3 separate regions of the Mus musculus genome follow, and regions 1 and 2 are each reported to be linked to region 3. Evidence: microRNA targets listed by miRTarBase, many of them from high-throughput screens and not tested one by one. Region 3 holds a microRNA gene; each other region holds the end of a gene's coding sequence.

Region 1 (7,200 bases), not on the chromosome of region 3:
TTAAAACAATGTAAAGAAAGTGTGAGGGTAGAGAGATTACAGTTATGGCAAACTTCTCAGAAGAGGTGGTGTATGACTGGAGACCTGCAGGAAGCAAGGAGCTGCTTCACTTTAGTGAAGAGTTCTAGGGAAAGGTGGTAAGGGGTGGAGCATCTGAGAATAGTGGGTTTTAATAGCCTGTGTAGTACTATGCTCCAGAGTGAGCACGTCAGAAAAGCAAGTGAGCTATATAGGAAGTATGCAGCACACAGAACGTGGAGCCAGCCTCTTAGGTTTGTTTTCTATGGACAGACACAGGCTTAGGCTGTGAAGGAAGAAGAGCTGTCCTGATTACCCATTCTCTGCCAGTGCCCTGTTAACTGACCAAATACAAAGAGGACTAGGGACCATGGCAGTCATCTGGTCGCAGCTGGCTCAACAGCTGAAGTTTAAAGAGAAATCTGAACTTCCCAGACTTTCTGTATTGGAATTGCAAACAGTAAACAAAAATATAATCATGAAAGGTAGGATGTGGATACTCACCAAGTAAGTGTTTTTATCCATGTGCAAGAAGTAAGTGTTACAAATAAAGCACAGAGCCACACACAGTTAGAATGAAAATGACTTCTGGATTTATGTCTGTCAGCAATATAGATATTTACAAATAACCCATATGAAAATGTAGAAAAGCACATTACATCTCCACACGCCATCCACATTAGCTGCATAAGCTTAGTGACAGTATTTGCCAATCTGCAGTCCCTCGTACATAGATATTTTGTGCATTAAAAAAGAAGTATGCATAATTTAAAATAAATTACATTACACAATTTACAAAGTAATATTAACAAAAGATTCACAGATAGCTAGCTCCTTACTCCAACAAAATAAATATTCAGGAAGATAAATTAATAAAAGTACTCACTTAGAGCAATATAATGTAAAGAATAATAGATTATAAATTTGATAAAATTAAATTTTACAATTGTACATACTGATATCTTCAAATTTCTGTGAATAAAAATGGGAGGAAAAAGTACCAGAAAGCAAATCGAAGTGTTTAATTAAAAAAAATAAACACAAACAGATTGTAAAAAAAAAATATCCAGAGACCTTATTGAGGCTTAAATTTAGATAAAATATAAATTATTACCTATAGAAAGAAAAGGAACCCAAAACAACTACAAAACAAAACAATAAAACTTATAGCCATTTACAGTGTAAGGAAAGTAGGTTTTTGCCGACAGGCAAGGTTGCTTGCTTCAGACATTTCCAGGTTTATGATCTTTCTTGACAGAGCAGAATAAAAAAAAATGCAAATTTAACATTATTTAACATTTTTTTCATTTAATCTTGTAGATAACCACTTCCCACTGTCTCTCTTAAAAAGAACGATTTTCATCACACTGCAAAATATCTTGTTGATTAAAAAAAATACCCAAGCAAGCAAGCAAACAATAATAAAACAAAGAAGAAACCACTTGCTGGATCCACACCTCCTTGTGTACATTAGCCAGAACATCTTAAGGAAGGACCGGGGGTGGGGTGGGGGATTATCACATAAGGAACAGGGAGATTCCGTTCTCAAGCCCAAAGAGACTCAGAGGGCTCAGGTATGTTCTGCAGGAGTTCTTACAGACTTGTTGAGGGGCTCCTGGTCTGCCTCCTCCTTAGTCCTACAAGGGGAACTGGACAAAGGACATTTGAACTAGGAGACACTTACAAACAACAAGATTCCAGGACATTTGGCATGCATGATTTTGCAAATCTATTCTGACTCTAAGTCTCCCTAGAAATAGATTCTCCTTTCTGCTCACTAGTGATAGATACAGGCTTTTGTGCTGATATGTAAGCAGGGGCAGGGAGGGGGCACAGGAGGGCGGGGAGGAGGCATGGGACGTGGAACAGTTGGAGGGTGGACCCGGAGGGGAATAAACTCTGGAGTTTAAAAAAAGAGAAAAAATAGTAAAAGAAGAAAAAACAAAAAAGAAAGAAAGTAGGGGAATAAGAGGATATTGGCTATTAACAATGTAAGTTTAAGATTTGACATTTTCATAGCAAGGATTTTAGTTTTAGTCTTCCTTTGACATGTCATGTGCATGACTTTTTTTATTCTTTAGTCATTACTTTGACAAGTGTATCCCATTTAAATAAAAATAGTTACATTATAACTGATAGTTTTATTTCAATAGGAATAATTATAGTTTACAGTGATAGAACCTGATTTCCTCAAATCTGTGAAGAAAAATGGGTAGGAAAAAGTACCAGAAAGAGAGTCAAAATGTTTACTTTTAAAAATAAACACAAACAAATGATAGAAAAGTAGCCAGCAAGCTTACTGAGGCTCAGAATTTGATAAAACACAAATTATTACCCATAGAAAGAAAAGCCAGCTAAACAACTACAAAACAGAACGATAAGACTTATAGCCAGTTACAGTAGTTAAAGTAGGGTTTTGCCATTGGCAAGGTTGCTTGATTTAGATATTTTCAGGTTTATTGTCTGACTAGACCATAATAACATAATATTATGAGTTAATAATTATACTGCACTTTGCCTTCTAAATTTTTGAGCATGTTTAGAGAAAGGTGGTTTGGAGCAAGGCAGACAAGGCTATAAACAATCAGAATAGAATTTGAGAGGCTAGGCAGAGAAAAGTGTCACCCAGGACCAAGGATACAGTAAGCTGGAGGAGGTGAACCAATGTGTGGGAAAAGCTGCTCTCTTCCTTTATAAGCAATGGCTTTATCTTGAAATATTCAGGAACCTAACAGTTCTTATTAAGCCACAGTAAGCATTGCTACTCTTCATAGCATATCCTGACACTTAGAGTCCCTGTGGAAAAGTTCTAAGCACACTTATAAAGAATCTATAGTGATGTGTACCAGTGCGAGGAGCTCTCATGAAGCATGCTTCTTTTCTTTTGGATGTCTTAGTGACCTGTGTATACAAAAGCCGTTACTATTTTAAGTGCCCTGAAAAGTGTCTTACATGTAAAATGTAATAAATATGCCTTTTTATAAGTGATCTGTGCTTTATTACATAGTTAAAAGACATGCTTTAACATACTCCTTTTTCAATTAGCTTAAGCTACATTCAAAAGAATGTAGGTTTCGAAATAGAGCTTCTTATAGTCAGCATATTGGATGGACACTGATGTACAGGCAAATCGGTTGCTTTCCAGGGAGATCAGCCATGCTACTTTTCCTGGGACAATCCAACAAAATTCTATAAACGTCTGCTTTCATTCATTCTTTTTCAAATCAAGTAGGACATCTTCCTTCCTTCCTTTCTTTCTTCCTTCCTTTCTTCCTTCCTTCATCCATTTGTTCCTTGTCTCTCTCCTTTCCCTCACTCCCTGCCTCCTTCTTTTCTTCCTGCTCACACACAGATTTGGAAAGGAAAAGGGACATCAAACAGGTTTCCAGCATTTCCCTTCTGAGAATAAAGTTCTGGGGAAATCAATAAAGGAATCTGTACGTGAAAACAATAACCTCCCATTTGTCCTAATTATCCAAATGAATACATTCTTTTCCCCACCTTTCTAACAATAGGCCACACAGTATTAATTTATCCTAATGATGAATATCAAAAGTGTTTATCCAACATGAATATAGTATTTAAATATAATTAGTTTTTCATAAACATTTTCCACCTTCACAACATTTTTTAATTTTTGATTTTTAATTGATTTGGTTACCATATCCTAAGTAGGAGAACATTAATTTTTTTTATAATTAATCACATTTTATCAAATACCTTAAGTGTAGTTTGGGGTAAGAAAAAATATCCTATTTTATTTCCTATCTCAAGATTGCTAAGTTTTGCCCACACTTCATCAGATTGTTAAAATTTTTCAGCTACCCACAGAGATTGTGATTTAACTATTTTGGACAGACTGAGCTTATTTTATTCAAAGAGCTCAACTCAAAGATTATTTGGAAGAGTGATTGTGTGTGTGTGTGTGTGTGTGTGTGTGTGTGTGTACTATTACAGTTTCAGAATATCAATATTATTTTTCCTTCCTCTTTAATGCTTTCCCTTAGTTAAATTCTTGGCTATCCACTCTCTTTGAAATGACGTAATCATTTAGTGCATTATATCTGGCATGAGTAAGAAGCATTCACCACATTGTGTTCATATTGAATTATATATAAAGATTTTTCAGTTGGGAGATGACAACATCCTCTTATTCAGAATTCGTTTCTAATCTGGGCAGAAAAAGCTGTTCTAATGGACAGCAGAGGGAGCTCAAACACAGCTGGTAAAGGCAAAACACCTCATCAACAAAACCACAGTTCCAGCCATACAGACATGTTTCAGATAAAAAATAAAACAATAAAATGAAATAAATAAAAGTCATGTGTTTACCGTGTTTAAAAAACTGAAAAGCAAAAGGGTCCCCATTCTATCAGAGGCTAACTGTAGCATTTCTGTTAGTGACAGAAGTATGTGAGTGCTTTTTCATGACACAGGTTAGCTTTCTTTTTCACAAGAAAGAGGTGAGCTATATTCCGTGGTGGCATTTCCTGTGTTTCACCAGTGAACACAGAGTTGATTTCCCAACAATCATAAGTTAATGACTATGAATTGACACCTGTGAAATTAAGCACACTTGATAGACAGAGAGTAATTGACTGGAAGCTAATGATAATATAATGTAGGGCTAGCTCTAAAGCCACATAAGGCATAAAGCCATAGAAGGCAGCTCAGGAAACTGAGACACGCAAATGTGGCTGGCTGGCTTCTCGTGGGAGGAAAGTTCTGTCAGAAAATGGTGTCACCCAGCTGACTTCTCCGGAAGCACCACACAGTGCCAGTGTTCTGAGCTGAACTAAAGACCTGACTGAAAACATTTCCTGTTTGCTCTTTTGCTTTAAAGGCTTATGCCCCTTGCTCTAGATGTTTAAGCAAGCCCTGGACAAGATTATTTATCCTTCTCTTCTTAAATTTTATATCTTAATAAATCACGCTAATTCAGATTTCAACCATGAAAAGGGCAAAAGACCATGACTATGAAATACAGCCTGTAAGACTGAAAAACAAATCAGGAAGACAGGAAAGCTAACAAATAATTTTGATTTCTTTTTGTTAGAAAAATCATTGATACACTATTTTCTCTATCTACTCAAAATTATGAAGACAACCAGTCCTTTTTTCTTTGCTTTTCTTCTTCTTCTTCTTTTTTTAAAAACAAAGATAACAAATATATAAATCTTGTCATAAACAGCCTTCCAAGAGCAACTGCAACCCAACCAAGGGGTTCTACATTTTGGAGGTTTGGGTTGGGTTTAGGGACTTCAACACTTGAATTATTGCCATATCGTCAATTTCATGATGACTATAGCAAGAAGGAAGAGTGTAGACAGCAGGTGTAATAGTAGATTTGATCCTGTTACCATCAAGACTGAACTAATTCTCTTCAGTGGACAAAAGCTTGCAAATGTCTCCACAGCACTCTTGGCACAGATGTCTTCATCATCCCATATGAAAAGAGGCAGTTTCTATGGCAACACTGGTTAAGTGCCTATCTTGCTGCACTAATATAGTGCAAAATGTGCCTTCCATATAGCAAAAAAGATGTAGGCAACCAGTGTGAAATTAGGGAAAGTAGAAAGGTATTAACACTAGCATATTTGTTTCCCAGACAATAACCACTATAAAATACCGAACTTGAGGACCCCTTCTTCTAAGGCTAGTACATGTCCAGCATTCACACATTAGAGAGAGACAAGGGTAAAGTCTTATAAAAGAGTTTGTCTCTAAAATGCAGGCCAATCAATGCTACCATCAACCATGAAGACGCTAAGTTGTTCAATGGATTTTCCACTTGGCATAGGCCTTACATCTTCTTCACTGTTAAAAGTTGCTTATTAACAAGTATATAAGGTGACATCATGTAAGTCATTTGATCGAGTATACACGTTGGCATGGTTAAGTGTAGAATTGTAAAGCCTTCAGTATGAACTCTTCATGCTAAAAAGTTCGGTGGGTTAGTGCTGCAAGCAGTCTTGCATCTGGCTTCCCAGTTGGCCAATCTCCTCACTATGTTTTAGAGATCAAAGTGGGTTTTTGTTTTTTCTTTTTGAAAAAATTGGGTAGATTTCAGAAAAGATGCCACAAAACTCTCAGGACACAGCATGCACTTCACTGCATCTCTTAGAATTCTCAGAGCTGACTCTACGTTTCAGTGCTATTGTCTTGAATATTCCTAGAGGGAGTAGGATTTTCTCCTTTTTCTTAATGATGGTGTTCATAACAGTTAAAGTTAATTATAACTCACACATTTGAATACTGGCACTCTGGCCTCTGGATGTCTACTATAAAGGGAAAAGGCCAAGTCTGGTTGTGTCCAGGAAAAGTCAATGTTACATATCAGCGTCTCCATCGTATGCTAAGGTTAAAGGTTTGAGGCGGTTGTTCTGCCGTCTTTGGGGTTTCTTTGGCTTTTTGCTGTAAGAAATTTAGAAAAAATTGAAAAAAAAAAGGTCAATCTTTCGTTTTAAATATTATTGTTTTAAATAAAAAAGCAAAACAAAATAGTAGATCTAAATTGTCCACCTACACTTCCCAGTGCCTTTTAGAATATGACCTAATGGTCTCTTTCAGTTTCACAGTTCCAAGATGTCTTAAGATACTTAACTATTTTATAAAAGCCAAATTATCCAATTTCTTAGTTGATACAATCGAAGTGATGTTATATTATATTTTGGGTTTGTCTCAGAACTTTTATAAATAATACACATTTACAAATACAGTGAAATAAGATTAAGAATTATAACATTTTTCTCTAAGAAAAAGTTTATGGCTTTAATATGCCATCAATGAAAGCAACATTCCATGGCATTTCTTCATGAGAAAAATCTTGAAAAAATTGACCCAGAACAGTCCTGACTTACTTCCATAATCCGACTGACTTAGATATGGTAGTAGATTTAGGCTTTCTAATATTAAAGTTTATTTTGTAAATTGAGAACTTTGTGTTAAGATGGAGTATATGTAACACATGTGTGTCACACACTACTTTGTTTCTGTGTTACTGGCAACTGAGAGAATTTTCTTGTAAGTAACTATCTTACATCTCCCTTTAGATTCTGAAATATTTAAACACTCACCACGCTAGATAAATCATGGAGACAATGAAGACTAACAGCACAAATGCCCCGGCTGCGACACCATAAACCCAGGTCTTTAATCTTCCATCTGAGAAGAAAAGGCATT
Region 2 (7,200 bases), not on the chromosome of region 3:
CCAGCACCGCCTCTGTGGTGGGTGCGTGCGCAGCTCCGGCTTGGGGCGGGGCCGAGGGTGGGGTCCGGGTCGGGATTAGGGCTGTGAACTGTCCGCCCAGGGCTTGATAGTGGGGCGTCTTGTCTTCCTAAGCAGTTTGTCTATCCATGGGGCACGCGGTTATTAGAAAAGCCGAATCCGAGGCCTCCCCGTGCCCTAGGTACAGAATTAGAATCTGCACTTTTAACAGGATCACCTCAAACGACTGGACAGCGGTGCATAGTGGATCCACATTTTCATATTCCGCGTACGCCTCTACCAAGCAACCTTTTTAGTTGTCCCAGGAGGCATGAAATAAAAAGTAGGACAGAGAATTGACTAGACACGTGATGGCAGTTACTGCAGAAGACTTACTTCTATGTGATGCCCAAACTCATCAAAGCGGTGTTTTCTGTTACTGTGATTAGCTGTGTGGATTAATGCAAACAGCTAATGAGTGAGAGCACAGGTAGGCTGGGAATATACTATTGGACTAGCGTTTTGAAACCAGTCGGCTGGAAGTGAAGATAAAATAGGCTGATGGAGGGCCCAGTGGGGTCAAAGAACTCTGGACACAGGAGAGACTGAGTGAGCTGAGACAGTGAGAGGTGTCCTGTGAGAGTAGCGTGTCTGCCACTGAGGTTTCAGTGGTCTTGCAGTCATTAGCACTGGCAGAATCTTAGACAAGTGTGTAGATCGGTGAGATGAGGCCGACCATAAAGCCATTAGAAGTCATAAACCCTGATGAGATGGTTCAGTGGTTAAGAGCCCTTACTGTTCTTTTAGAGGACCCGGGTTTGGTCCCAGCACCTACAAGGTGGCTCATAATCATCTGTTCCAGGCGCTACAACACCTTCAGGTGCACATACAAACATGTAGGCAAAACACTCAAACATAGATTAACATTTTAAACAATGAAAGTAATTACTCAAAAGGAACAGTGAGGTAGCAAAGAGAGTTGGAGGTCTACCTTAACATTGATTTCCTTCCTCTTTACTGAAGCACTGACTCTAACCTTAGGATGTTGTCTGTCTCCACAGAGATGCATTTCTTAGCCTCCCTAATAGATAGATAGGGGGAAATGGTAAGTAGAATTTCTCCGTTTCTCTTTCTTTGTGTATAGGGTGTCCATAGAATGGCCAGAGCTCCAGCAGCCACTTCAGATCACGAGGTAGTTAAAAGCAGTGGAATAAAAAAAGGGAACTGAGCCGGGCATGGTGGCACATCTTTAATCCCAGGACTTGAGAGGCAGAGGCAGGCAGATCTCTGTGAGTTCAAGGTCAGCCTGCTCTACAGAACCAGTTTCAGGACAGCCAGAACTACATAGTGAGACCCTGTCTCACCCATCTCCCCCACAAAAAGAAAAGAATGGAAAAGGAACCATGCAGCTATGGAATCATCTCATAAATGATATATTTTAGACTTTTTATATGAAGGGGAAAGAAATATCAGTCTTGTTAGACCACTGTTGACTATCACTTTTCTATTAAATATAGCTGAACCTCATCCTACTTAATTAATCCATTGGATTGATGGAGTACTAATTGCATAGATATTAACATCACCTTCAGGAATGACTGTGTCTATAGACACAGCATTGAGTTAGGTGCTAAGGTCTTCACTGAGTGAAGGGGAATAAACGGGTCTATAAATAGCTACAGCCAGGAGAGGTAGTGGGTGCTTCAGAGGGGCTGGAGAGCTGGAGAAGCAAGAAGACACAGCAGCAGGCGTTCGTGCATGGTGAGAATCGAGGAGGAGATAAGTCCTGTTTTCTGTTTTAAGATCTTGACTTTTTAAAACCTGCTTGATTGAAGAAATACGTTGTATACCAACACCTGTTTCAAACCATACAGTGCTTTAGCCCTCAGATTCACATCAGTGGTCTACTCGGGAAAGTTTTCTGCAAAAACAGTCGGCCACCAAGTTGGTTCTAAGCGCTATTACTAAGCACTCTTTAATCTCCTTTTAGGAGAGTGATGTTCACTATTCAATTTAATCCTTTAAAAACGTATTCATGCTTTTTACCTCTCTTGTTAAGTATGTTCATTCAATTAATTATCATCAATGTACTGAGGCCCCACCATGCTCCAGGCACTACACTGGGCACTGGGAATACAGATTAATTGCAAGGCATCTGTCTTAGTTACTAACTCAGAGAGCGATGAGGCAAAGGAATCTGTCTTTGTGTCATGTGATAAGGACATCCATCAAATGCGAGTGAGGGCTGGGCGCTGGTTGGTACATGTCTTTAATCCCAGCACTCCAAGAGGCAGCGACAAGTGGATCTCTGAGTCTTCAGAGTGAGTTCCAGGACAGCCAGGCTACACAGAAAAAAACCTGTCTGGGGAAAAAAAAGTGACTGAGGAATCGAATCTACCAGAATCTACCAGATGAGAGGAGAGTACAGAGGTCACATTGGGGTCAGGAAGCTGTTCTTGGGAGGGTGGGGGTGGGGGGATAGGAGAGGAGCTGGATCTTGAAGACTCGTGGGCATTATTCAACTGGAAAGTGGGAATTTATTAAAAACACTACAGCAGAGAAAAGTGCATGATGCCTTGGGAGTTCCAGGTCAAAAGTCTGGAGTGGGTTTGTTTCCACCATGCTGTTAGGCAAGACAGACTAATAGTAAATACAATTACCTTGCTTAGGTATAACCTGTCCATCATGTCCATCTTCCTGCTGGGGACTACTGGTTTAATGTGCTCAGCCTTCAGGAGCAACTTATCTAAGTGATTTCAAGAAGTCTTAACCTTATACCACCAAAGCCCCCAATTGTAATTTATGCTTATCTATCACAGGAAACAAAACTGTTGTCGTAAGTTATATTATGGTTTATTAGAGCGATGTAATCTGAGCACAATTGAAGAAACAGTCATTTAAACAAATGGTCCCAGCCTATATTCTTTTTTTAAAAAAATATTTATTTTATCTGTTAAAGAGTGCTGTTGCATGCATGCATGTGCACCACACACATGCAGTGCTCACGATGGCCAGAAGAGGGAGACAGATACCCTAGAAGTGGAGTTACAGACAGTTGTGACGCACTATATGGATTCTGGGAACCAAACCCAGGTCCTCTGCAAGAGCGAGCCATCTTCGACTATCCAACATTCGTCTGAGAAGTTTTTAGTACACTGTAATTCAGGTCAAACTCTGAACTTAAAACAACTCAAACAAACAAAAATCTTGTGCACCGGTTTTAGACTTAAGTTGCAAAGACGACAGAGAGGTTCTGCGTGCTTGTTTTCCTCCTGAGAACATGTCATGGTGGTGCATTTATTAGTTTAACACCAATATTGACACATCATTCTTTACCCAGAGTACACAATTGTTACTAGTTCTTCAATTTTTACTTAGTATCTCTTTTTCTCTTCTTGAATTCTCACCATGGATACTTCCTCAAGGCTCCTGTATGCTAGGAAGCTCTCTCTCTCTCAGACTGGCTTTTGATGACTTCAACAGTTCCAGGGGAGTAAGGTATTCGTAGATCATCCTGAGGCTGCCTGCATGGTACTTTTCTCCTGCCTAGCCTGGGCTATCATCTGAAGGAAAAACACCACAGAGGTCATCTCATGCATACAACTACCAGTGATTGCCAATGCTTGTATTGATGTGGGCATCTGACTGAGGTAGTCTGTCTGACTTCTCCTCTGCAGTTATCCCTCACCCCTTCCCACACTAGATTTCTAAAGGAAGTTAATCTATGCAGTACATCTGAGAGAGCTTTGCTTCATTTCCTTGAGGGGCAAGAACTAAAATATTTAGAATTCTGTGTGGGGGCTTTACTTATTCCATTCTGATAATGTTTCCAATCATTTACCTATAATGGCATGGACTCAGGTATCTTTGTGTTTCAGGTTATAATCCAATACTAGGTTATTTATTGCTCGACATTTATTTCAAATTTGGCCACTGGGGCCACTTTGAAATGATTTCTATACCCCTTTGACATGAGCTAGTCAGTCCATTTGGGCCATTTCTTTATTCTTTGCATTGCAAGAATACATCTTTTGGATCATCAGATTTATCATAGTTGGGTAAGTGACGTAATCTTTTAATATGGCCAGAAGAGCAAAGTGCATGAATTGGTGAATCAGCACACGATCATCGATCAGTATCGATCAGTAACTACTCTTTGTATCTTCAGTTGTTTTAAGTTCAAGGTCCTATCCTAGCCTTACCTTCAGCTTGGTTTAGAAATCAATGATGCTTTTGTAGTTTTGCATATTCTAAGCAGAACGAGAGAGTTGAAGCTACTTAAAAGTACAGGCTTTGAAAGAAGCCTGTGGTATTAGTGCCCATAAGTAGAGATTACATTCTTGGCAGTGTAGTGCTTCAATATCTTTACAAGCTCAATGAGAGGACCTTTACATTGTAAAAGAAGAAAAGTTAAGATGCAGAGCTTCCGTTTATTTTTGAACGAAAGCAATCTTCAGATTAAAAAAAAATCCCAGACCCATTTTAATAATGACAAACATTCAGTTGCTAAAGGATTTCGGAAGGAAAAGGGCCCTAGAAACCCAACCAGGGCTCAGTGCTCAAGTTCACAGAGAGTACACTGGGTAAAATATTAGGCAGCTGTTCAAATCCGTGTATAATTAGGAGTTTGAATTCTCACGTATCTGCTTACATGTATTTGTGTTATTCTCATGCCATTCCTGCAGCGGGTCAAATTATCCTTAGGGAGTTCAAGTGCTTCTGACAGCCAATGCTTCTTAAATCTTGCATTTCAGTTCCACTCCTGCCTTTCTGAACTACACACAGGAAGAACTGGTCTAGGCAGAATGCCCCTAGTTAATACTAATACTAGTTCTAACTTAAGACGTGGAAGAGCTTACTGATTCTTATTATGTAGACTCTGAAGGAAGGAGGGAGCTGGGCAGGGGGAGACTCACACTTGCTGACCCCACCTCAATGCTGGGCGGGGCAGGGGGAGGGAATAATCACACTTGCTGACCCCACCTCCAGTGCTAGCACTTGCTTACTGCCTCAGCTGGATCCTAACACTAGCCCTTCAAGATTAAGCCAGGATAGCTAACTAAAAGCCTCAGGTTCTTTAATCAACCTATTGGAAGACGGCAAATTATTTAAAAGACTTTCAAACTTAGAAGAGCAAATCCTTTTCTGATTTTGTATATTTTGTTGTTGCTTGAGCCAAGTTCTTGCTATGCAAACCTGGCTGGCTTGGAACTCACTCTGGGAACTAGGCTGGCCTTGAACTTGTGGTGATCCTTTGCCAGGAACTCCCAAGTTCTGGAATTACAGGTATGTGCCACTATGTTCAGTCAGTAGTTTCTTTTTTAAGAATATAAAAGCAGGAGGTAGGAAGATGGCTTGGTGAATAAGAGCACTTGCTGTGAAGGCAAGTGGACCTGAGTTTAAATGCCCACCACCCATCTGAAAGACAGGTATATTCAGTTACTAAAATTAATAACTAGTTAATTTATAAAAATAATTTATAAAATTAATGTTATTAAAATTGATAATGGATCACATTAAGAGTTCTATAGAGTTAGCCATTTATTAGATTGACTTAGAGATAACACCTTATTTCATACATATCAACGAGCATTTATTCAGCATGTGCCACATGCCGGAACTTAGCTATTTTCTGTTTTGCCCATGTGATACCCTCACTGTATTAATCATGAAGACAGGAATGCCTCACTGTCTGCACCCTGGATTTTGGACTCCCAGTCTTCAGCACTAAGTGGCTCTTCTTTCTGGACTGCCCTCTGTGGGAATTCCTGAAATAGATATGTGGGCTCTGCTTATAAGGTCAAGTGCTGCCAATATGCGCTTGATAATGGAAGCAGTCTTTTCAAGATGGGTTATCATCCAGCGAGGTCTAGCTGTGCAGTGCTAGAAACACAACAGAGTCAAGCATTAAAAGAACCCTGCTAATGACATACAAAGATGATGAAGGGGGCCTGAGCTCACGGTCTGGGAATGACTAGAGGGAGAGACAAAAGGCTCACGAGGGAGGGAGATGAATCAATTAGTGAAAACCCAATATCACAGAAATAAAACCAAGAAGGATTAATGATTGAGGGAGGAGAGAGAGGGGGAGGAAGGGAGAAGAGAGAGAGAGAAAGTGAGGGAGGGAGAGGGAGAGGGAGAGAGAGAGAGAGAGAGAGAGAGAGAGAGAGAGAGAGAGAGAGAGAGATTGTGATTGATTCCTGTGCAGTATGAAGCTGTGTTCAGTCTCATCAGGTTCTGAAGGTGTGGCTAGATGGCGTTTTCCGGTGGCAGCTCAAGTACTGCGCTGCCACATCTAAAAATAAGCCAGGATGACAGCAAAGAAAGCAACAGCCAGCATGAGGACACGCACTGTCACCAGTGACCCCCCAGAGCTGTCTCTTTCCACCACTCTTGTCATCAGAGGCTTCCGAACACGATCTTCCGTGGTGAGAATAGTTTTCCGGGCTCCAGCCCACTTTCCAGGGCCCTGTAGGCGATACTGGACTGGAGTACAGGGCCCCAGTAGTAACCGTAATGCCAGCCTGGGGTCAGTGAAGACCAGAGGCAGGATATTGGGCCTGACACCCACTAAATCTGCAATCTCTTCCATGGTGTCTATATAGTCTCCCTGGATGGTATGACGCTGGCTGTCCACATACCTAAAGCAAAGAAGACAGAAGTCCCAGGCTATCAGCAATTCACGCAAACAGCAAGGCAACCAATCAGCCAGTCGGTGCTTTGTGAGTGTCTATCTGGGGGTTTGCTATCATGCTAAGGACTGTGAAGAGTTAGGACATTTATCACCTTCCTTACGGACCTTAAGATGCAGCAGACTCTAATGCATAAACACTCTGCTCCAGAAGGCCAGACATGGATAAGCCTTCAGGTAAATATTTCAGGTTGGATGGGGAAATGAAAATGTAGAGAGATCGCAGCTGGCAGGTTTCGGAGGGAGTTATCATGCAGGGGGGTGGAGGGGGGGTGGGCAAAGGATGAGAGCACAGGAGCCAGCAACTCCACCACACAACTTCACCAGTCAACAGGTGGAAAATAGAGCCATTGGTAAGAGAGCTGTCAAAGGCTCGCCGCTTGCCCCTAAAGGCAGGGGAGCGTCATTTTAGTGTAATCTCCTCTTTCAGCTGACAGCACAGCTGGCGGTTAAGTGGCCCTCACCAAACAATGCATCCCATGTTCCCTCAGTATGTTTTTTTTTTTTCCTCC
Region 3 (7,200 bases):
GCTGCTCCAGGCACAGCCTTGACTGGGCTCTGGGTGGTCTAGCCTGTGGGAGGGTGCTTCCTCCATCAGTTCCTTCCAAGGCATCACCAGTTCCTAAGAGTCTGTCAGGTGCCCTGGGAGCTTGAGGACCCTTGTCCCTTTTTCAGCTAGATGCTTAGTAACCAACATTTTTTTAACAAAATCTCAAAGGTTCAGTTTTGCCAATAAAGACTCGGGACCCAGATGCTGGGGTGAACGCCTGCTAGCTCAGAGAGGCAGAGAGAGCACCCAGCCGACCTTCCTCCACAGCGGACACATTCTCAAAAGTCCTCTTCTCACATACCTGTCTTGAAAAATCTCTCAAATCAAATGTTCCGCCCTCCAACTTCCTGTGAGTGTCTCTGTCTGACCTCCTGACTTCCTCTTAGTCTGTATGTTTTTTTTTTCCTATGCTCACTTCCTGTCAACTGGTTGCTTGCTCTGCCTTTTGACCGATGGTTGACTTTATTTAAGCCTGTTCACAATAAACGGTTGACCACTTGGATTAAAGGCGTGGGTGCTAAGGACTGAACCGCACCGTAACTAGAAACAGATTTTTTACAGTAAATAACATAATCTCAGGGTTCATGGTGTGATCAGATATCCTGCAACACCAAATTCCTCCTTCTCCTTGTCTGGAACACCAAACACACTAAACACACCTGAATCCCAGCCTACCCTGGACTTGCTGGGAAGCTCTGCTCATTTCAGGATTTTCGGGGGAGACAGGACAGCAGGGGGAGGAAGCAGCTGTGGAAGCCTGCTGCACTTTCTCTTCCTGGGACAAAGATACATCTGATATAATGAGGGGTGGGGGTGGTAACCCACTCTCCTGTGGAATTAACAGTTGTGGATTATAAATTGTGTTCACCTCAAAGCAAGTTTGGATATATGTTCAGGAAACAAGAAATTGTCAAGAGTCCAGACATATTTAAAAAAAAAACAAAACCAAGACGGCTAGCCATCCCATGCAGGAGGTAGAGGCAGGAAGGTCGGGACTTAAATGGCAGCCTTGTCTACATAGAGAGGGTAGCATTGGCTATATGAGAATGGAGAAGAAGGAACTGATTGCTGCCAGAACTGAAAAGTGTGATGGTCAGACAGACCTCAGATAAGAGAATCGGTATTTGGAAAAACTGTGCAAATGAACTGACCATTAAAGAATAAAACTGCAAGATGTGAGGGGATGTCAGGAAGCAAGGGTGTGTAGACCAGGGGAAATGGCATGGCAGAGATGTGGCTAGAAACCTTCTAGAAGTTACCAAAGCTATCAAGCCCTAGGCCCAAAAATACAAGGTGAAGAACGAAATCCACACTTGGCCTATCCTACTGAAGCTGCTGAGCATCAGACACAGAGGACACTTTAACCGAGATCAGACAGAAAAGAAACGCCACCTTCTGAAGGCTTTTCTCTGCAAGTCTTCAGGAAGACTGCCAGACAGAAAGGAGAACAACACATGTGTATCAAGATGTTTGTGGGGGGCCGGGCAGTGGTGGTGCATACCTTTAATCCCAGCACTTGGGAGGCCGAGGCAGGCGGATTTCTGAGTTCAAGGTCAGCCTGGTCTACAGAGTGAGTTCCAGGACAGCCAGGACTACACAGAGAAACCCTGTCTTGAAAAACCAAAAAAAAAAAAAAAAAAAAAAGCTTGTGCCCGCATGTGACAGAATGCCTGGGAACAAGGTGGACTCTGAGTATTTGCATTTCAACATAAACGAGAAGAATTAAGCAATACTGAAAAAATAAATACCTCATATCTTCATATTAAAGTCTACAAGAAGCCAGAGCAGTGGAGAGAGTGTGTGTGCTGGTGTATGTGTGTGCTTGTGTGTGTGTATATGTGTATGCATGTATGTGTATATGTTTCCGTGTGTGCATGTGTGAATATGTATGGGTTTGTGTATGAATATGTGTGTATATGTGTGGTTTTGTGTGTATGTGTGTATTTGTATGTGATATGTACGTGTTTGTATGTGTATTTATGTGTGCATGTGTGTGTTTGTATGTATATGTGTATATATGTGTGTGTATGTGTGTACATGTGTACACGTGTTTCTGTGTGTGTATACATGAGTGCTTGTGTGTATGTTGCTGTGTGTATATGTGTATGTATGTGTTTGTGTGCCCATGTATGTGAATATGTGTATATGCCTGCCTGTGTATGTGTGCTTATGTGTATATGTGTGTGTGTTTATATGTGTGTGTGTGTGTGTGTGTGTTTAAAGAAATCCAAGAGTAGTGGGCAGTGACACACACCTGTAACCCTAGACTCAGGAGATGAAGGCTGAAGGATCAGGACTTTAAGGTTATCCTATGCTATACCATGACTTCAAGGACAGCCTGGGCAAAAAAAAAGAAAGAAAGAAAGAAAGAAAGAAAGAAAGAAAGAAAGAAAGAAAGAAAGAAGAAGACGGAGAAGAAGAAAAGAGAAGAGAAGAGAAGAAAGGAAAAGGAAAAAAAGAAAAGCTAAATATTTACAAAGTTAAGCATCCACCTCAGAATTTGAATAAAGCAAAATAAATGCAAAAGTTCTCCAGGTAGAGACCTTCACAAAATGCAAAATGGCTTCCTTTTTCCTTGCAGGGTTTCTGGTGTGGAAGGTCCACCCACCCACATTGCAGGCAGCTCAAACGCTGAGTTCCAATGGTATTTTGGGCACATGGCTATTTAATTAAAGTTAAACAATAGATTCTGCTTACTAAAGACAGGTACTGCTAGTTTTCCACTTATAGCAGTGAAATATGGCTTCCTTTTAAACTGTATTTGGGAAGAAGACAGAATTCAAAGGGAAATATGAAATAAATAATACTGTGGTTTTCTGTGGCAAAAGGTTATGTTTACACTGGAAGTCATAGTGCCTGTTGTTATGCAAATCAAAGAATTTATACACAACTCAAGATCAGGCTTTACAAATACAGCTTGTAGGGCATCTGAAGTCCTAGGTGCTTACTCAGAACTCAGTAAAGGTCGGTTATTATCAAGATCATAATTAGTAATAACTCTTTAATAATTAAAACGTAAGAAACGTAATTCAGATTATGGCTCTAAAAATAGCCCTGAGATAAATGACTAACCCCGTGGAGTGAGGTAGAGCAGGCTTCACAGCTACCTCTCCGTTCCCACACTTGGCCTCTTGCTGCCCTGGATGCCACACACACATCCCCACTCTCCATGTCCCTCACCTTCACCAGCACAAGCGCCTCAATGTAGACAAACACAGGGGGCGCAAGACTGACTGCCCGGGCTTACAAAGCTGCTTCCTCCCCCCACCCCCACCCCCAACGAAAGCCTCACTTAACACAGGGCAGGAAATGAATCCCCACCCCTATGGTCGATTTTGCAATGTCCTAGCTAAGCTAAAGGGCAGAGATTTGGAGACAAGGCATCCAGTCCCCAAGAACTAAGACACTCAGTCCAGCCCACCCTCTCCTCGGAGGACGAGCAGGATCCGGAAGCAACTGAAGGGGTAGTCGCCCTGTACAGCTTCAGCAGAATCGTATTTGGCCACCAGAAAAGTGTCAATCTGTCCATTCATGCCCTCCCCCTTAAAGATGATTAGCAGTGGTAAGTACTCAGGGCCTTCGCCATGAAGACGTTTTTATTTCATTTTCCCAGGATGTGTCTGCTCTTGGTGATTCTTCTAGAGTTCCTCCCAGGAAATCCCACCGAAGTGAAACCCACCAGAGGGGAATGCTTTTCCTGTTCCCAACCTCGGCTGACAGAACTGTTTGTCTGCAGCCGGCCACCAGGCGGAGCCCCAGCTTTCTCTATGGAGCCATTTATGTCTTTTTGCAAAACATCTCTGTGGGAGTCCCTACTTCTACCAGTCTGGCTGAGGGCTTCCGCCATCCCACACTTAGACTGTAGGCTCATTGGGGTCAAGACGCTAACCCTTCCAATGGGCCTACAATCTAAGTGTAGGATGGCAGTCCAAGACTCAGGCACTCAGGCGCCTCAGGTTCTCAACTATGTGTTATGACTGGACAGGCATGCAGCTCTCTCCCAGAACCTAAGAGGCCAACTGTGGTAAACGCATGGCTCTGAGTCAAAGGTGTTTTATCACAGCAATAGAAAATTAACTAATATTCCCTGTAACAAATGGAATCCTTCAGCTCCGGCTAGGAACTGGTTTTAGTGGCAGCTTCTGAGAGGACCAGAGGGACAGCTAGCTGTCACACTTGGAAGGTGGGAGGTCCTGCCCAGCTTCAAGACAGCATCTATTACGCTGAAACTCAAAAATTGGGCTGTCTCTTTGAACTGGAATTAAAGCCATATTGTGTCTCATACTATTGTCTTTGAATAAAATCTAATCCTCCTATGAACTGACCTTGACCCAGACAGCCATTTCCTTCCGCTTGAGTTCCTGCTTAGACGGCCTCATCCAGGACTAAGCTCTTCCACCTAGGCCATGATCAGGGGGGAGAGACATAGCTAGCTGGCCAGATGGTCATTGCTGGAACTCACTGAGCCCGTGCCATCATAGGGAGTCTGCTTGCCTCCTCCTACAGCCTGGCCGAGAAGCTCGCTTTACCCTCCTAGGTTCAAAGGCATCTTCCACTACTGAATATGGACTTGACAGGCAAAACTCAGGCAGGGGTCATCTCTGTGCCTCACTGCCCCCCAATGCAAACACACTGGAGCCAAATACTCAGCTCTCAGCTCACCTTCCAGTCTGGAGTGGTCCCCAAAAATCAGTTTCTGTCAATTTAATCCACTGGACAGTAGCTTTGAGAATTAGCTTGAATATTAAATATCCCATAGAAGGCAAGAGGTATGGATTCAGATTCTACCTTTCCACATCCAGCTGGGTGATGTGAGCAGACACACACACACACACGCACGCGCACACACATACATGCATACATGCACACACACACACACTTTGTTCCTCCGCCCTTACAAGGTTTGATTTAAAGGGAGAGGAACAAGAGGCCTCTGACACAGAACACATCAGTCTCTCGGCTGTGAGAAATGCTCACACTGTCCTGAGAGTGAGACTGAGCCCCTGGCCCACCCTGGCTCTGCACCTATGTGAACACTTGTGCTTTCCTGTGTCCTGACAATGGACTGCAAGTTTCACAAGGGAGTGGCATGGTGGTCTGAATGCTTGCCTGGAGCACGGTCCCAGAACCAGCTTGCAGATGAGTTCTCTCCTTCCTTTCAGAAAGACGTGAGGACGTCCTAGAACCTGAACCACATGCTACTTGGGATCTACATCTCCTGGGAGATACAACAATGGCATGGGAAGATCTTTCATTGCTCTGGTTCGGTTCCCTCTGGGGTGTCCGTTAGGAACTCTGCTTCCTGATACAGCTCCTTCCACACACCCACCATAGGGAGGGATTAAATAGAAACCTGCTTCTCCCAGAAAATGACACACAGGAAAGCTGGCCCTGGCTTCAGTGCTAGCCAAGTGCATTTTCCCCAGTGACGAGGTGGCCTTAAGAGAGAGAGAGAGACAAAAGCTTTCTGTGGTGGCCTCAGCCTTCCTACCCACTCACCCCAGTTCTGAGAGCTGACAGCCAGCTGCTTTCCTAGACTTGTGGGACAACTCAGAGACTTCACCGTCACCGTCACCAAGGCTGTCGCCAAACCATCACAAATGGATTAGGTGTAGTGGGCTCTTCTGTCTCAGTCAGTGCCAAAGCCCCACTGAGTCCAGGGAACACAGTCTCAGCTTGGCATGAAGCCCTGGCAACCCTTATGTGGGGACTCTTTCTGGCTTTATGAAAAGCCTCCAGTGCTCATAGGTACCTGGGAACATTCCGAATTCTCTCCTTTTTTCATTTGGATGCCAACAGTTACCCTGAGGTGCCTTGCGCTCTGTCTCCCAGATAGATTCTCTCTCAGCCGGAGAAAATGGGGCAATTTCAGAGCAAGTCTCGTTGGTGACCCTGGGTTCTCTGGGCTCCATGACGCTGCCACCTTACAGGTCTCTGATCCGTGTCAGTATTTTCTCCATCCGAAAGGAAGCTCTCATCAACAGTCTTTCTAAATGCAAACAGCAAAGGTGGCATCCAAAGACAGCACCCTTACAATCTCCCACACTCAACTGCCTATGCGGGGCTGGGCGAGATGCGAGGCAGAAGACAAGCATGCCGCCGAGGACGCGACCCGCCTGCAATCTGTTTTGACTTTTTCTCTCTGTTGCAGAAGCCTATGATTCGCAGTTAAATTTGACCAAATAAACAAGCTCCATTTTCAGGTTCTGCAAAACCTACAATTCTGGGAAGGCTGATGTGGTTGACACTAAATTGATTTCAACGCATCCCATTTCTGGTCTAATGCTGGGCTCCTTTGAGCAAGAACAAACGTCCTCATGACGGCTTCACTCTACCTGAATAGGCTCAGTATAAACACACAGGAAGCACAGGCGTCCAGATTAATTTTCCTTTTTTTTTTTTTTTTTTTAAGAGAAGAAAATATGGGGTGTTTTACTTTTCAAAGATTAATTTCCCACAGAGTTTTACAAAACGCCAGGGTAAGGCTTTCACATGTTAAACAGTCATCCTGCACCCGGAAAGCTCAGGAGGTGGTAGTTTTGTTTTGTTTGCTTCCCTTTTCCCATTCTTTTGTGTGTACTTGGGGAGACTCAGGTTGACATTGGGAGTCATCCTTGATCATTATTCTACCTTATCCATTGAGATGGGGGTCTCTCCACCAGACCCAGACCTCTCCAATATGGCTAGTCTACTCGCCAGCTTGCTCAAGAAATCCAATCTTTGCCTTCTGAGACTAGACTTAAGGAAAGCTGCTACACCCACCTCCCCAGCATGTGCCTGAGTTCCAACGATCTGAACCCTCAGCCCTACTCTTGCTCACCAGCTGGCTTTACCTTCTGAACCCCAACCCCTGGCCCAGGCCCAGCCCAGGCCCAGCCTCAGCCCCTGCTCCTGTCCCAACCCCTGCCCCAGCTCCAACCCTGCCTCAGCTCCAACCCAGCCCCTGCTCCTGCCCCAGCCCCAGCCCAACCCCTGCCCCTGCCCCTGCCCCTGCCCCTGCCCCAGCTCCAGCTCCAACCCAGCCCCTGCTCCTGCCCCAACCCCTGCCCCGGCTCCAGCTCCAACCCAGCCCCTGCTCCTGCCCCTGCCCCAGCCCCAGCCCCAGCCCCAGCCTGAGCCCCAGTGCATCCATTTTACCCCCAACAACTGTCAGAAATCAAAGGGCATCCTGGATGTTAA

Evidence for each region. The annotated mature microRNA mmu-miR-3086-5p reads UAGAUUGUAGGCCCAUUGGA and lies in region 3 at 3,914-3,933, opposite strand. An mRNA with a match to its seed (bases 2 to 7 or 8) in the 3' UTR can be bound and repressed. Matches are read on the target gene's strand: a 7mer-m8 pairs with bases 2 to 8, a 7mer-A1 pairs with bases 2 to 7 and ends in A, and an 8mer does both.
Region 1: the mRNA of Thsd7a is a reported target of mmu-miR-3086-5p. Seed matches in the 3' UTR shown: 7mer-m8 at 3,850-3,856, 7mer-m8 at 3,820-3,826 and 7mer-m8 at 1,065-1,071.
Region 2: miRTarBase lists Fmo5 as a target of mmu-miR-3086-5p. Seed matches in the 3' UTR shown: 7mer-m8 at 6,182-6,188 and 7mer-A1 at 5,543-5,549.

What each region holds. Positions count from the first base shown.
Region 1 is chr6:12,311,020-12,318,219 of GRCm38, forward strand. Thsd7a (thrombospondin, type I, domain containing 7A) reads right to left here. Exons shown (of 28, transcript NM_001164805.1): 27 at 7,095-7,182; 28 at 589-6,432. The coding sequence ends at 6,348. Among named protein-coding and RNA genes, the nearest start is that of Gm38583, 120 kb to the right of the region's middle.
Region 2 is chr3:97,650,920-97,658,119 of GRCm38, reverse strand. It overlaps Fmo5 (flavin containing monooxygenase 5), which reads right to left. Exons shown (of 9, transcript NM_001161763.1): 9 at 2,833-6,638. The coding sequence ends at 6,293. Among named protein-coding and RNA genes, the nearest start is that of Prkab2, 3.7 kb to the left of the region's middle.
Region 3 is chr19:58,907,812-58,915,011 of GRCm38, forward strand. It overlaps Mir3086 (microRNA 3086), which reads right to left and starts at 3,948; the gene lies at 3,862-3,948. It also overlaps a transcript of Hspa12a not described here.